Nothobranchius furzeri: one gene and its partner. The protein of the gene in region 1 interacts with the protein of each later gene in a biochemical or structural test. Links are inferred from orthologs where the notes say so. Each region holds a gene or a part of one and is shown in the gene's direction. Other genes may lie near its edges. The genes, in order: drd2a and neuronal calcium sensor 1.

What was found.
Region 2: the proteins of drd2a (region 1) and neuronal calcium sensor 1 form a complex in vitro, tested with the Homo sapiens proteins (2 studies listed by BioGRID, with this or other methods). The link is inferred for Nothobranchius furzeri from reciprocal best matches to the Homo sapiens genes DRD2 and NCS1.

What each region holds. Positions count from the first base shown.
Region 1 is NC_091753.1:39,795,917-39,804,279, forward strand, and holds the end of drd2a (dopamine receptor D2a), read left to right. Parts: intron 1-2,760; coding exon 2,761-2,847; intron 2,848-2,994; coding exon 2,995-3,379; intron 3,380-3,729; coding exon 3,730-3,926; 3' UTR 3,927-5,006; downstream 5,007-8,363. UniProt on the Homo sapiens protein: Dopamine receptor whose activity is mediated by G proteins which inhibit adenylyl cyclase. Positively regulates postnatal regression of retinal hyaloid vessels via suppression of VEGFR2/KDR activity, downstream of OPN5.
Region 2 is NC_091757.1:35,624,959-35,633,963, forward strand, and holds the end of neuronal calcium sensor 1, read left to right. Parts: intron 1-1,331; coding exon 1,332-1,470; intron 1,471-2,994; coding exon 2,995-3,073; intron 3,074-3,346; coding exon 3,347-3,435; intron 3,436-3,513; coding exon 3,514-3,591; intron 3,592-4,542; coding exon 4,543-4,641; 3' UTR 4,642-4,649; intron 4,650-5,082; 3' UTR 5,083-5,279; downstream 5,280-9,005. Other genes in the region: hmcn2 (hemicentin-1), read left to right, coding at 7,393-7,663. UniProt on the Homo sapiens protein: Neuronal calcium sensor, regulator of G protein-coupled receptor phosphorylation in a calcium dependent manner. Directly regulates GRK1 (RHOK), but not GRK2 to GRK5. Can substitute for calmodulin. Stimulates PI4KB kinase activity.

The sequences.
Region 1 (8,363 bases):
TGATGTAATCTTAGCATCCAGTAAATAAAGTCCCATATCAGCTAAAATGCAGCGTGACAAAGTCATTAAAGTGCGTCAACACAGTGGATTTAATAGAGTTTTAAAGAACGATCTCTAAGTGAAGTGAGGTTAGTTTTTTGTCTCACTGCAGATATAAAAACTAACTCTGCATCAGTCAGACGCAGCAAAGCTCACCGTCTGTATGAGCGTGAGCGTCGGAAAGCTGATCAAATTGGCTGTAAAATAATTAAAACAAAGTAAAAATGTTCCTTTGCTTTTTAGAGTCCACATCCAGAAGACTGGAGCCATGTTTCACTGACAGGCTGTCAGACTAACGCCCTGATGAGCTCAGCTGGGACAAACTGGTCTGATGTTTAGGTAAGTGAAGATCTGCTTCTCCAAGTCCTTGAGATGCTAGTAAAAAATAATTTAGCCAGCTTGCTAATGTTACTTTTCTTCTCCTCTAAGGAACACAGAACGTTCAGATGTTGGCGTTTCACGTCACCTACTGAGGAAGGAGACCCACCAGTAAAGAGACGGTCTGGACCAGACCAAAGTGAGTGATGACACACCTCAGCCACCCTCATCATTAAGAACACCTCACCCCCTGAATCACTCCGTCTGATGACAGCAGAGTGATTTATTTGATGTTTTACTTGTTTAGTCTGTTTAGAAATTATTGAATTACATTATTTTCTGTAATCGACCATCTGATCTGGATGTGTGCAGAATAACTTTCCCCAAATTCAGCAGCAGCTGGCCTACAAAAACAGCTGCAGCATGTAGTGAGTGTCTGCACCGCTCTCTAATGAGCTTCCTTTCATAAGGAATCATTTGTATAATTTTAGTGTCACTATTTTATTACATTTGTAGGAAAATATGAAGTCACTGCAGCAAAGTGAACTTGTGAACAAACACAAACGTGACTATAAACATGAAAGCTAAAGAAACAACTTTCCTAAAGCTGCTTGTAAACAAAATATGTCATTAAAGTTATTGTCTATCATTGCAGAATATGGCGATGACATCATGGAACTGGTCTTTGGAAAAGTTTTCCCTGAACCAACTCCGTTTCTAGATGAGGTAGAGAAGATCTGCATCTCACCAACTCTCTGGTCTCAGTATTCAGACAACGGAGGTCTCCCACTGTTGTCCAGGACCAGTTTGAAGCCCACATACTGCCCCTCCCTCATCATCAGGAAACATCAATCCGTATCCTGAGGACAACAGAAGACGGCAGGAGGACAGGAACTCTGAGACCTAGACCACCAGCACCGAGACACAAAGCACCTGTGTGCACAACGCCTGTTTTAACTACTAAAGCCTGTTTATTATATTGTTCTACTTATTTGCTGTGAGGTTAATACTTAGAAAATTTGTATATTAATGTAAACAATAAAAAAATCACTGATTGTATGCTTTCTTTTAGATGTAATGGTCCAAACTCAGCCTTGTAGACATTTATTGCACCCTGTAGGTAAATACACAGAACAGGCTCAGGTCCAGGATGACCCAGCATGCTCTTCTTCCATTCTGGCTGTTAGGGATTGTATCAATAACTCAATGCCTACTGATGTTTTCACCTAACGGTATTTATTTAGAATGCAGGTAAGATTTAACTATATTTGTTAGCAAAGCAGACTGATCTTGGGAATTTCACTGCAGCACTGATGTCCACCTCTCTGTACACATTAGAGAGAATTACCACTTTACAGCTAAACACATTTAATAAAGATATAGGCTACGCATTGCAGACAATAAAAACAAAGTTGTAAGCATTAGAATTATAATGATGACATTAAAGAACACTTGGAGGAATGTTCTTTATTTTTGACTAGAATCTCAAATCTTTAAATTAAAATGTAACTGCTTTTTATCCATTTTCAGCCATTAAGACACCCAATATAAAATAAGACTACTTATAAAATTATTTATAATTATATGTATGTATATAGATAGAGATCTTAATAAAATATATTCTTTGAATGGTGTTTTAATGAGCTGTATCATTTTTTTAAACATTTTTTACAGAAATAAGCAAGCAGCATTCCTTGTGTGTGTGTGTGTGTGTGCGCGCGCGCGCGCGTTTGCGTGCTCGCTTGTCCCTCCGTCGGCCGTGACGGGTGTGTGTGAGTGACTACAGACAAATGCATGAGAGAGTTAGCAGCCATGAAACAGCTTGATGAACTACTCTCCCCACGTGGTTTAAAAATGCTAATATGCTATGCTAAATCTGCTATTCTAAATCATGATTTCTCTATAGAACTACAAAGTCCGACTGGGGGAGGAGAGTACAGGACTGCACTATGGAGGGGGCGGAGTTTACGGCTCCTCCTCCAGTTTAAAGAGACAGTACCCCAAAACGGCTCGTTCTCAAGACTCTCCTCAGAACTGGGGTAGATGAGGGTCTGTAGAGCAACAATAATGAGGAAATCAGACCAAAGAACTGCAGTTCCACTGTTTTTAGACCCCCAACTGAAGGATTTAGATGTAAAAAGGAATAACTTAAAAGCATGTTATGTCTCCTTTAACTGTTACATTAATTTATATGTTGGTAAAATAAACGAAAATGTCATTTTGCAGCTGAAAACTTAGTCGGGTGAATAAATTGGTGTTTAAATAAAAAAACGAATCTTTTTTTTAGCTCTGCCCTTGACTGATCTGAAAGACACAACTGTTCTGTTCTTAAACAACCTCCTGTCAGTGGCTCTGACACTGTACTCTCCTTGCATGACACAGCATTTTTTTTTTCCATTTCAGGACAAGTGCACTCATCCAGAGGATGTGAGGTTGTGTACCATGATTGTTAAATCTAATGGAAGTCTACCCATGAACAAGAAGAAAGTGGTGTGTTTCCCCTTTTTTCCCTTTAGAACAATTATTTCCCCCTTCAGATCATTTTTGCTGAAACAAAACACAAACGTGTGGTATATCTATTGCCTGTAATCTAGTTAAAATGATCATCTGAATCTGTGTTCTGCTGCTGATGTTCAGATTTTTATCAAAGATGCGGCCACTGAGGGGGAAGATTTGGAGCTAGATGAGCTGAACAACAGTGGCAGCAGCCAGAAGCAGAAACATCAGGCACAGGGTGTTCTTGGAGACACTCCGGCCACCAGCCACCAGCAGCTAATGCCTGACAAGGCCAATGCTAGCCCCACCTCCACACCTCCCACACCTCCTGAGGAGGGCCACAAAGCGGAGAAGAATGGCGAGCCCAAGGAGGCTCTGTCAGAGCCAGCGCCTGTTATAGCCAAAACCTTCCAGACGCAAGCCTTACCTAATGGCAAGACTCAGACTTCTGTTAAAACCATGAGCAAGAGAAAGATCTCCCAGCAGAAGGAGAAGAAAGCTACTCAGATGTTAGCCATTGTTCTTGGTATGTTGAAACATTTCTTTTGTAACTTCCTGTTTTGTTCAAATCATTCTGTGTTTTGTTTAAATTGAGCTCAGATCACAATCATAAAATCACACCAGAACAGAACAAAGCTCAACCTGATGAAAACCAAATATTTGATCTGGTTCTAGCTAATCACAAGGAGCGGTCCTAGTAGTAATTAGTCGTCTATTTGAAGGCTTTTATCTTCATCTAAAAAAATTGGAAAAACCTAAAAGATCTTAAAACAATGATGCAAGAAAACACACACACGTGTTTAAGATTTAGGGCGTTTTCCCCGTTCCCTTGTTTTTCTCCAACTCATGCCCTTTTTTCCACTCTTATCTCCTCAGGTGTATTCATCATTTGTTGGCTGCCATTTTTCATCACACATATCCTGAACACCCACTGCACCAAATGCAAAGTTCCCGCTGAGATGTATAACGCGTTCACTTGGCTGGGCTACGTGAACAGCGCTGTAAATCCCATCATATACACCACCTTTAATATCGAGTTCAGGAAGGCGTTCATTAAGATCCTGCACTGCTGAGCTGCTGCATCTCTTACTGATCTGACTGGAGGAGAAGTGAAAACTAAAAAGGGTTAGGCCATCTCTTCTGGCAAATACCTCATCCTGTTCAGGAAAAAATGCACCACATGGGAAAACTGCAATCGGAGTTTTAAGAAACAAAGAGAAAAGAAGAAGAAAAACAGCAGAGTGTCTCCTTGGAAGGCATGTTGGCTCTGTGTGTGAATTGTTTGAGGAGTTGTGCTCTCCAAATAACTGAATGTAAAACAAGAAAAGTCTGTAACAATGTGGAAGAAAAAAAAGTAACATTGTTCTCCGAAGTCATTGTGCTTGTTACGTAAGGAGCCATCTGTGTATAACTACACACATGCAAGTTGCAAACTGATTTTCTGTGTGTGTGTGTGTGCGTGCGTGCGTGCGTGCGTGCGTGTGTGTGTGTGTGTGTGTGTGTGTGTCTGTCAATTTTATGTTTTAATGATTATGAAAAAACTTCTGGAAATCCCAAAAATATCACATCAGTGTTCATTGCAGTGTTAATCAGCTCTCTCACTGAGGGGAATGTGTGTCGAAGAGAAGATTAACTTTCTGTAAAATGTGACGATGCCAATATCTGCAGTTTTGCAGTTTTATAAATTAAGCTCTTATCATTATTATTTTGTTTGCTGTAATGTACATAGTTTTAAAACACAGTAACTGTGATTATATGCCTGCAATGGAAATGTGATGCATGCTACACCACTCCTCTATTTGACTTTTCATAAAAAAATTTTAAAAATGTATGTACAAAATACCAAAAGAATTCCCAAAAAATAAAATACCCATGTTAAGTTCCACATAGCAATGTTTACAATATATGATTTATTAATTACTTGTCACTGATATGATAAATGTTGGTGCTAACAAGCGTGTTTCTGCAGTGGAACTGTTTCAAAGCAAACTAATGACCTACCTGTGGAGTTTGCTGCCTCCAGGTTTAAATATTACGATGTGTGAACCTCCTGAAGCTTCTCCCGAGGCCTTTTACATGCAAGACTGAGGTAAATTTGGTAAAAAGAAAAAAAAAAGGAAAAATATCCTGAAATAAAAGCTCCAAGCAGTAAATCCTTGTTGCTCAGGGTGACATATATTGCAGCATATTTAGATCAACATTTAAGGCATTGTTATCTACAACCTTCCAGATTTCTTCTATTACCTTTGCTCAAACTGAGATTGGGTTGAAAACTACGATCTGGCATACAGCACTGAACACAACAGCATTGAGTGTATAAACAGAAACATTACATTTGATGTGAATATGAAAGGAAAGGACCTGCTAGTAGTTTTAGTAAAAGGGCAGGTAAACAGGCTGCAGATGAGATGTGTATCTTTTCCAAATTTGTCTCCAACATCTCCTCACCCCTACTTCACACTGGAAGCATCAGCGTCATAGAATGGCAGCAAAACATTGCTGCTTCAAATACAATCCATTATAGTTTATGGGGGTGATTCAAACTAGCCGCGATGCAGAAATTTTCAGGCACATGTCAGAAGCGGCTCGCTGCACCACTCTGCTAAAGATAGGATCAGGTTCTATTTTTGCAGCGAACCGCTTCTGAGACACATCAATTTCCGCAGTTAACATAGGACTAGACAGGGAATCACACATGGTATCAGTGTAAAACCTCTAATTTTCAAAATGAAAGGCTGCAGTGATGCAATTTCATATGTTTGTAGATTACATCAATACATGTGACCTAAAGTCTTATTTACTCACAGCATCGTTCTAAAAGTGCAGCAGTGCGTTTTTCATGGCTTTAATCCTGGCAGTGGAGAGAAACATCATTTATGACATCAGTGAAATCAATTGTGATTTCCTTCTTTTTGGTTTAATAGCGGATGACATAAGCAAACTGTAAACTTTGAAGCCTCCAGGGATTTTGTGGTCTTGCAAGTCCAGCTAGGAGCACGGCAGAGACGCCGCTCCTTGGCTGAGATTCTCCCGGTGTGTACTAACAGGCAGCGAAACTCACAAGTAAACTGCTCCGCTGCCATTCCGCTCCCCTAAGGCCTCCAGTGTGAAGTAGGGGTCAGAGTTCATTCACATTTCTTGTAAATTAAAAGAAGGAAACCAGGTGGGATGCAGAGGTCCACAGTGACTTTATCACTGTTTTAAGAAAACATCTGTCATGGAAAAACTTTTGAACACATTTCGCATCAGGCGGCACAGCTGCAAGCCCCCGCGACTCAACTACTACGAGAAATTTTGAAACCACCTTCACAAGCACATTTTGCTATTTGTCACCAACAGTCACATCTGGGTGAGGATTGGTTTTTAACCAGAATGCAAAAGACCATAAAAAGTCATTGACAGGGGGATTCTGCTATTTGAGAGTAGCTCAGAGTTGAGTCAGCACTGCTCTACGCTGTAAGGAGCCAATTTAGCTCAAAGGCCATGTTCACTGAGAAACCATTTATTTTTCAAGTTGCTATTTTTGAAATAGGATCAGTCACTCTGACCATCACATGCAGGCTGAATGCGAAGTCTTCAAAACTACTTCCTGCAGTAGAGGCCTGGAGAAAAAGATGGGGAAACTCAGGTTGGAATATCCTGACAATTGCACGTCACATTGGGAATTAGCATTCGTGGATTCACCTAATTTGGCTCATGACGGGGAAGGCTGTTGTTGATTTAGCATCCTGGAAAAAGTAGAGAATGTCTCAACTAATAGAAGCAAATCATTAGCATTAGCAACTTCACAACATGCAGAACTTCTTCAGACTTTTGTTATTTGTGGAGATAAAACATCAACGTTGCAGAGCAGTCAGTGGTAGAGCCGTGTTGCTGATATCCAATTAGAGGTTAGATGTCCAAATATCAGGAAATAAGACTCCAAATACTGCTGTGTTCAGCTCAACTCAGCTGTTGCCCAGTTCCTGAAGCAGGAGTGCCAGAGTGTATGTTCCACAAGTATCGGCTCACAAGACATTCATATATGCTAGAGATCACTGAAAATGCATGGAAAAATTGGTGAACTGGGTGTTTAAGTAAGCATTTGGTAAGGATGACTCCCGGATATGTTCCAATAAGATGATTCAGACATGTCTCACCCCAGGGGTGGCGTTAAGCCTGGCTACTTGGGCTCAAGCCCCGAGTGTTTTATGAAAAGCCCCGGATCTCAAACGTGGAAGTAGCGTGCAGTACCAAAGTCCAACAGAGAGGGAGCAGCGAGCAGGAGTTTGTATGCAGCCTGCCTGAGACTCCACCACTGAAGAAGAAGCCCTTCAGCAGCCGGCTTCTTCTGCAGTGCCTGGTTTCTTCTACACTCTGCTTGAAACGCATGAGTGAAGATGGACATAAGGACGTTTTTTAGACAAAAAGTACAATGACAGAACCCCAGCTTTGATGAGACTGGAGTTGACTCAGGTTTGTGAGTCTTATTTGAAAATATTTGTTGTGCTGCTGGTTTGCCTAAAGTTAGCTTACTATCAGGTAAAGTTGTTGGAGAAAGAAAGGGAATATTTACTATCATCTCACACTAAACACTAACAGGAACAATATTCTGCCCTGAATATGCTTAATATGTAGCTTCAGATTAAAAATTATGTGGTACAAGACAAATATATATGATGTTGACTAGTGTGTGTCACGTGTGTGTGTGTGTGTGCACGCGTGCGTGTGTGTGTGTGTGTGTGTGTGTGTGTGTGTTAAGCCCCGGATCTTCTTCAGTCCTAAATCCGCCCCTGTCTCACCCAAAGGTAGCCACGAGGCAGACATGGGACTTCTAAAGAGCTTATACCTCACAGATGTCCTGAGATCAACTTGGTGTTCCACTGGGTGAGCTGGAAAGAGAAGGGTCATGTGAGGTCTTCTTAAACTGTTCATGCAACCTAGTCTTAGATAAATGCATAAAGCTAGATGAATGGATGTTTTTACCTTTTCTGGTTTGTTTACTTTGTTTCTTGGTTCATAAATGTGAAAGAATGGGGATTTTTCCCCTTAAATGTGACAAGCGGTTCACATCTGATTGTGAAGTAGCTGGGATGAAAATCAGCCCGTCTAAATCCAAAGCCATGGACTTGAATCGGAGAAGGGTAGAATGCCTTCTCCAGGTCATGGACGAGGTCCTGTCTCTAGGGGAGGAGTTTAAGTGTCTTGGGGACTTGTTCACGAGTGAGGGACAAATGGAGCAGGAGATCGATAGGCAGATTTGTCTCTTGATTCATAAATGTTAAAGAATTATGATTTTCCTCTTAAATGTGACAACTGGTTTTAATGTAATCATCGGAATTTTACAACAACATTCTTTTTGTACCTTGTTACGGTCGTGGCACACAGTGGAAAAAACAGGTGATGCTGAGAGCTCTAATGTGAAGGGCTAAATGAAGGCTGATGAGATATTTCTAATACGCTTCATAAAAGAAAAGTGTACTAGATGTTGATCCAGTAGGCAACTGCGGCTCAGGAGGTGAAGCAGGTCC
Region 2 (9,005 bases), on another chromosome or scaffold:
TGTTGTAGTGAAATTTGTAGAAAAAAAGCCACAATTATTCATCATTTTATCTAAATCATTTACAGTTATGCTGACAATCATATTGCTCAGTAGAAAACAGATGATTGAGCATCCCTGTAACTGGTAATCACACCAAAGATGTGTCAGTAATAGGACAGCAGTTATAGATATAGAACACACATGTTTTATTGCAAAAAATATTTAACATTTTTCAGGTATAAACACATTATTATTATTATTATTATTATTATTATTATTATTATTATTATTATTATTATTATTATTATTATTATTATGTGCTCTATCAATCTAAACAGGTGTTATTCATATTTTATTATCAGACGGCGGATTAGCCGAACCCATAAAACAACTGGAGGATTCAGGTAAAGTGGGTCAGCGCTGGATTTTGACGTGCATTGTGTCTTCTGCAGCTTGAATACCAATTAGGTCTTACTTTACATTAAAGCTGGGCTTTCATTTTCCAGCATATCTCCAGATAATTTAAATGTGAGAATTACATGGTTCTGCTGTCTCCTTGCCTTGCTTCTTGTTGGACTCTTTTCTTTTATAGCATCTGCAGCTCTCCGTTTCTCTGACTCTGTAGAGCTGGCTTTATTATCTCCCGCTAAGATTAAAAAGTGTGCATGAAGAAGCTCAGAACTGGCTTTCGTTCTTCATCAGAGCTTTTTTCTTGCCTTAATTATAGCCTAACTTCTTTTTTTTTAACCCCAAGCAGAATCTGAGCTGTACAAGCACTGCTCCCTTGTGTGTAATTGCTTTGCTATTGTAGTTTTTTTCTTCTGCTATTTCCTTCTTGCTCATGTAACATTCAATTTAGTTAAGAATAACACTCATCCTCGCTCCTTGATCTGTTCTTTAGACTCCATGACGATTGTTTTTCCGTTACGAAGGCATTCCAGGAAACCGCCTACCTTTGAGTGACTGTGCTTCAAATTGCTTATGAGATGCTGCTATATATAGGCTTATAGAGATGTTAAGTCGTTCTCGGGATGTGTCATTTCCAGGGCCAAGAGGAAGCTCTCAGACCTATCTATCTATTATACCTAATATCAAAAGAGAAGCAGAGAAGAATTTGATTAGAGTAAACCACCTTTGGCTTGCTATTAGATTAGGGCGATTGCCTTATCTGTAAATGAGACAAATAGCTTTCACCTTCTAGATCTCTGAGTCAGGGATACCTACTGTAGAGGTGAGGAGGTGGCTTCTTGCTTTCGTCACTGCAGGCCACTTGTGTTTTGATTTTATAGTTGCGGTGTAGAAAATGTTATTTTTATACCTCAAAAGATCTCTAAACTAGTTCTGCTTTCCAGGTACAAGGGCTTCATCAAGGACTGTCCAAGTGGGCAGCTGGATGCTGTTGGCTTCCAGAAGATTTATAAACAGTTTTTCCCTTTTGGAGATCCAACAAAGTTTGCTTCATTTGTCTTCAATGTATTTGATGAAAATAAGGTTTGTTATCATGCCTCTTGTTACTTCAGACTCACTATAAATAGTTTCTGTATAATTTTCATTAGGACATTGGGCCAGAGGATACTTTTGAGGGCTACAGCTTCTGTCTGTTGAATTGTAGCTCCAACAAATCATCATTTTTCTGATTAGTTTAAATTCCTTTATTATATACATTATATACCAGCCCCAAGTTAGATTAACTTGAAAATACACTAAACAAAATTTCTGGTCTCAGCAGGCATTTGTTAAGATTGATGCATTTTTTGGGTCCTGGAGATAATTTCTGATGAAATTCTAGAAAATTCCACCTTAAATTCTTAGAATTTTCCTTTATTACAATAAAACAACTTCATAAAGATGTCTGCCTGGGAGAGTGTTCACATTGCAATAGGTTGATTAGGAGTAAGTGGTCCCAACACACATATAAAGTCTGTACAGTTTGTTTTTAGTAGTGTAACAGATGTTTGTGTCTGTGTGGGCACATCCCCTAGGGATCCAAGTACATGATGACATGGCAAGTTTTAACAAGGCCAGCCTATACATTGGGCAGAAGAAACCCCCCATCAGCTGCACACAATTATTCTTATTGCGTTTACGTGAACTAACTATAAGTGAGCAGCTCCTGGGTCGTTGGTGAGCCCCTGTAGGTTTACTGATTCCAGATAAGTGGCTTTATGTTGGAAAGATCAGACGATCTCCAAACGTCTGACGTTTATCTGTAGTCTCATTAGCGATAGGCACCCTGTAGCTGGAGAATGCATTGATCTTAACAGTTTTTATGGCTTCTTTAATCGATGGTGCATGACTTCAGGATTTTCTGATCAGGCAGATGTCTGCTAGAGATAAAGTTAGCTGACCTCAAGGGCCTTGAGGCTTTTTTTTTCTCAAGGAAATGTAGGAACTCGTTGAGGTACAGATAGTCAGCTGTTGTAAAAGAATACAGGAAAATCTTTGGAATGACAGGAATTTTTCAAAGATCTGATGCCTTCAGGCAAACTTCTTGATTTTTGAATTCATTTTCGGTGTGAGCGGGTTTCATTTACAGCTGGACGCTGCCTGTTTTTTTATGATGTTGTTGCTTCAGGCCGCTTGATAAATGGTCAGAATATGAGCCACTAGTTGTTGTTTTATTTTTGGTTGTTTTCCATGCCACCAGGCTTTCTTCCACACAAATCATGTCGTCCCCCCCCAAAAAAAACCCTCTGAAGGACACAGTTCTTGAATATTCACAGGAAGTTAATGTCAAAAGAATAGTTTCTCCATTGTTTGGACAGAGTTTCAGAGATGGAACATTTGGAAGATACTGGCCACCAGTAAAGACTGGTTATGTCTGTGAAGTCTACGTTTTGGAAAATGAGCCAGTAGCATCGATCTTGCTAATGACTCAAAGTGACGTTTCAGCCTCAGAGAAGGCCAGGTGTGGGGCGAAAATAGCAGTTTCTGTAAATCCATTTAGAGTGAACGGGAACTATGTTAGTCATTTTGAAACAGAAGGGTTTCCTGTCACACTCTGTCTCTCTACAGGATGGACGCATTGAGTTTTCAGAGTTCATCCAGGCCTTGTCAGTGACCTCCAGGGGGACTCTGGATGAGAAGCTTAGATGTAAGATGATGGTCTACGCTTCTTCCTTTGTTTTTGTGAATTGAAGGTTTGATTGTGATGATCCTTAAAGAACAGCAGATTAAACAATAATAACCCAGAAGCTGCAGGGTTTTGCCTTCTGGTTTAAACTTGAAAAAGAAATTAAAAAATGCAACTTTAACAAAGCTTTTAGAATCACAGTAGTCCTCCACACCCATAGTGATAATACATGAGCCAGGTAAAACGTCTCCTTGGTGCACCAAAGCCTGTATTTAACGTTTTGTCTTCATACAGGGGCTTTTAAGCTTTATGATCTCGACAATGACGGCTACATAACTCGTGATGAAATGTTAAACATTGTCGATGCGATTTATCAGATGGTGGTAAGTTTTGGCTACTCCTTTTATTTTTGATCCTTCTCAGCTCTCAGTGAGCTCGGATGTAATTGAATTGTATTTTAGGGGAACACTGTGGAGTTGCCAGAGGAGGAAAACACACCAGAAAAGCGAGTGGACCGTATTTTTGCTATGATGGATAAGGTCAGTATTTAAATATTAAGAAAAGTAAAGTGTCAAAGACAGGAATACTACAGGTCTGTAGCCCATCATGAAACTAGATCTGACATTGCTGTGAGTGAACGGAGAATTATTAGTTTGCCATTTATAGGAATGAATCTGCCTTTGTTGCCACCCATGGGGGAGTTTAATTTGGGCACTGTTATGTTTAGAGCTGTTAAATGTACCCATGTTAGTGTCACTAATACTGCCTGCAGTCTATAAACATGGTTTATAGTCACCTACACCAGCAGCGCAGTGCCCACTCTGTCAGCACAGAGAATCCAATCAGTCTCAGTGAAAGATGAGACGCCGGCTGTATTTGTGTGTTTGGGGTTTTACTGGTGCCAACACTGGCCTGTAGGACTGGTTGTGCAGCTCTCACTCGTTTCTACAAGGACTGCAGCTTCTATCCAAGTTTACTAAGCTGAAAATCAGCCTAAAATAGGAGCTCCATGAGTCTGAGAGCAGCTTTGGCCCCCTGCTGGTGTTTTTAAAGAGCAAGTCACCCCCTACAAGAGTCTAACTCCACTCCCACTTCATGTTTGAAAAATGCAACAAATGCCGTTGCCTGGCAGACCAAGAGGGCGGAGCCGCTAACAAATACACACACACAGACTCACGACAGCATTGTGACATCATAATGTACCAGTTTACATCATAGCATACCTCTTAGCCAATAGCGGTGGCAGATTTAAATTCAAATACAGTGCATAGTTTTTACCTGACAAAGGCACAACACTGACGGTTTTAGGCAGAATATTTAAATTTTAACTAAGATGCACTGAAGTGCCAAATTATTGACTACACGTGTCTGCAGCACGATTAGACACTCGTTTATTTAGTTTATCAGCAAAAAAAAGTTGATTTGGGGGTGACTTGCTCTTTAAGTTAAACTCTTCAGTGTCTTCAGTTTCATGTTGTTTCATGTTGCAGAATTCCGACGGGAAGCTGACACTGCAGGAGTTCCAGGAAGGTTCAAAGGCTGACCCCTCTATTGTTCAAGCACTGTCACTGTATGATGGACTTGTTTAAGATGCCAGGTGAGTAAGGGGGTGGGGTTAATGAGCGACAACGTTTCAAGTCATGCTTTACTTTTATGTTAATAATGTGTACACCCGAGTAAAGCTTAACAAAGACCACAATCTTTGAGCTGAAATGAAAGGATGGAGGCAATTTGTGTTCTCAGTTTGTTTCTATGAATTATTCAAGTGGCCCACTTGTTTACTGGCACTATAACAGTCTTGCAGTGCTGGATGAAGGCTGAGACAGCCATCACATCTCACTGCCTAATGTAGTGCACTTGCTGCTGCCAATTGTTGCTGACGTCCTGCTCAGTGTTCTGTCAACTGTGAAGTGAGGACATAATGTATGTGTTCATAGCAGGGATCTGATCAGATGTTGTCATGCTTCTCTTGAACGCACCTAAACTCACTGTCATCAGGCAGCACAGTAACCCGTTTTACAACTTCTCAGATGGCTCCAGTTCTCCATCCTCCTGCCTCATTACACGCCAATGCAGCACCATCACTTCTGCAATGGGAGGAGGCATTATTTACCCCGATCACCCAAAAGAGGACAACAAATGTTCATCACACGACAAGATGCGTCAAGTAGCTGCTCATCTACAAGCATCTTCTCTGATGTTCCAGTAACACATGCCAACTATCAGTGCTTCTACAGCTATGTAGCACCACCTCCTCTGTGTTGTGGACTGAACATCTCTGAGGCTGTTCTCCTGGACAATCCAAGGATTCCTGCTGAGTTGTTGGTGTGCTTCTTGTCCACACTAGTGAGATGAACTTCTCAGAGGAACTGCTGCTGCTTCATGGAGAGACTTTTAATCCCCAACCTGAACAAGAGTGTTGCTGAGTGATGACATGAACAATAACTTAATGTTACAAGGCAGTATAGTGTGTATTATACCATGTAAATATAATTTATTTTCTGCTTTGCTGCATTTATGAGAATTTCCTCATAAATATGGAATGAATTTTATTTTTATCAAAAGTGTTTTGCACTGTATTTTCCAATTTTATTGTTATTGTTGTTGGATGATTCTTTTGACACATTCTTGACTGAAAAGGGTTTTTAGTTAGAGGGATGCTTCGGTGGCATGGTTTTCTATAGATTTTACTACGTTTGCCATACAGTGCATCCCATTGTGTTCTCTTTTCACTGTTAGCATGAGTGTTGCACAATTACATCCTGAATGGCACGATAAAGCAACACAGCAAACTGTCCCAGCTTTGCATCAGAATTGAGACTTTAGTGTTTCTTTGGCGAGCTCCACTGCCCACCCTCAGCTACACAGAGCTCTGGCTGTAAAGCTTTTGTGAGCGCTGTGGTTGCTAATGTGATGTTTGTTTAGTGTGAGACCAGAGCATGTACTGATGCCTTTTTTCTTACTTAAATCACTTATTTTAAAGAATTTAAATGTTTTATCAGCTTCTATGCCTTATGCAACTTTTAAGTTAATAATGCCATTTACCTGTTTAGTTTAAGAGCACAGAATAAAATGCATTTAAGTGGCTAATATTTCTATTACTGTATTTTTAGTTTTTAGTGATTAGAAGTGTTTCTTTCTCTTTTGTATAGCTGTTTGAATGGGTTTAATAGGCTGCTTTGTAGAATATTTATTCATTTTTTAATCCCATTGATGTAAAGACAGCAACCCATAAAAGCAGATGTTTGTGGGAATGGGATCTGGTCCAAGCCTTCCACTGCACTGTGCTCCATCCCTAGTAGTGAAAGGTGTCATATCAAGCTTTAGTGCCTGTTCTGCTTTGCAACACAGAATCTAACACTCCAGCCTAGTCTGTGGCGTGAGTCTGCTCTGTATGGTTGTGTAAGGAACAACATAAAACTGTGAAGTGTTAGCACTGATGGGTGAGTTAATGAGGCGTAGCGGCTTTTTGAGGTTGCTGAGTCTCCTCAGATCATCAAGGACATGGAGCTGATATCAGAAGATGGAACTGTCCAGAGCTTTGACCGGAGACTGTTTTGTCCCATGGTTCTTCTTTTGTATTTGCAGCATGTTGCTGGAACAAGTGCAGTAAAACACAAATGTATTTTGAAGTAAACTGTCAGCTTCTTGTCTCAAAAAGTCTCTGGGTCCCCACCATCTTTGGGAGAAGACAACTAATGATTTGCCTACAAAAACACATTACTTTGATTATCAGTATTTCCTTCAGACCAAGTGTTTATTTCTTGGTGTTGATACAGTTTTTGCATCACACTTAATATAAACATTATTCTTTATAAAAGAGGTTGTTACTGTAAGATGTTGCTCCCTGTCTTCAGCTTCATGTGCACGGAGTTGTTTGGGACTGTGTCACGAGGGGTCCATGCACTGCTAAGAGAAAATCAAACTGTAATGGGGCGCTGGTATTTGAGTCTCCTCACTCGGTGGGGTCGAGTTACACTCAGGCGCATCAAAAGCAGGTTGGGTCTTGGGAACCTTTTAATACCCATCTCCGCCCCGTTTGAAGCGTCAGAGCAGCAGCCCTCCGGGGGATCCCTGCGCGCAGCCAGTCCGCGCGCTCCTCCAAACTTTACGCACGCATGTCCTGTGGAACGACTTAAAACCGGATTTTGATGCGTTTTAACCGAGTTGCGCCGGTCCACAAACTTGTTCTATGTACCCGGGCATCCAAAGGCTTTGAATTAACACTTTTTTTTTTTACAAAGTTTCTCATTCTTTTACTGTTTTTTATTCAATTTTTGTTTTTAATGTGATTAACCTCATTCCAGCAGACAGATGCGGTAAATATAGGGACTGAAAAGATGACCGGTGCCTTATTGAAGTGCCTCTTGTTGGTGCTCCATGTCAGCGCGCAAGGGCTCTTGGGAGAGTCCTTGTCGCACCCCCGGGTTGACGAGGGCGATGAATCCGATGACAGCGCCTCAACCCTGGCCTTTGTGTTCGACGTGACCGGCTCTATGTACGATGATCTGAAACAGGTGATTGAGGGAGCCTCGCGGATCCTGGAGAAGACTCTCAGCAGAAGAACCAGACCCATCAAAAACTTTGTCCTGGTTCCCTTCCACGACCCAGGTACCATACACAACCTTAGCTTTTCTTTGATTTTTTTTTAAAGAATGAGGGTTCAAAGAAACAACATTGATCTAATCAGGCATATAAAGCACACTCCCTTTTCCACAGATTCTGAAACTATCATTTAGTGTTTGTAGTAAAAATTCAGTAAAAGCTACACATTTGAAAAGTAATCCATCCTGTTAGGCAGCACATTTAACCCAAACTGATAATTGTTAGAGTTACAGGTAAACCCCCTCTCCCGGCAGCATCTGTCCTATCTGGTGTGGCTTCAGCTTTCGAATAAGAGTGCTCCAGTCCTGTTTGTGCTCTGATGAGAAGCATATGCTGACTGCTTGTGTGTAATTACCTCAATCACACACACACACACACACACACACACACACACACACACACACACACACACACACACACACACACACACACACACACACACACACACACACACACACACACACACACACACACACACACACTTCTCAGCCTCCGGAAAACCCTCACAACCCCCAGTTTGGATAGCCTGCAGGGGGGCAGATTTAGATGGTGGGGGGCAAACCCCACACATCTTGTCTGTGTTTAATGTGTCCTGCCCTTGGGGACTTTGTAAACTTCCAAGATTGCAAAGAAGCAGCAGTGGCTGACAAACAAGAGTCGTGACAGTGCTGTCAGTGTTTTACAGCCACCCAAGAGGGGGAGGAGGAGGAGGCAAAGACATGAAAGGTGCCTCTTCTTGAAATAAGATTGTGAATGAACACAAACAGTCATCAGCTTGACACATGTCTGCAAGTTCTTCATCATTAATCTCACAAAGATGTGTCAAAATGGGTTTTTGACAGTTGGGAGAACAATCACGGTTGCATGGAAATCACCCCCGCCCTGAACGATGAGGTTCTTCTCTGACTGCGCACATTCTCAGCGTGATTTCTGCTCTTTCTGATTGACCACAGAGGATGTCGGAGTACATGTCAAGTTCTGACAGACTCTTATCCATCACGCTTGCCTCTACTGCTCCTTGAGGCCTGAGGAAGTAAAAATGCTGACAGCAGCAGCAGAAAGGGATTATTTTGTCTTCATTCAAGCTGCCGGTCGTGTTTCAGAGATTTGTTCTAAACAATACTTGACAAATTTGCCACTACATTTGTCTACTGCTGTGTGCAAATTAGATCTCAACCAGAGGCAGCAGGACATCATTCAGGTCCTGATGAATTGGACTCTTATTCATCAGAGATTAGGTTTTGATGCTTGTTTGAAGGATGAGCTGAAAAAAAAATCTTAACCATCAAATTCAGTTTGCTGACAACTACCACAACTGGTGTTCTGATGTGTTTTGAAGGGGAAAAAA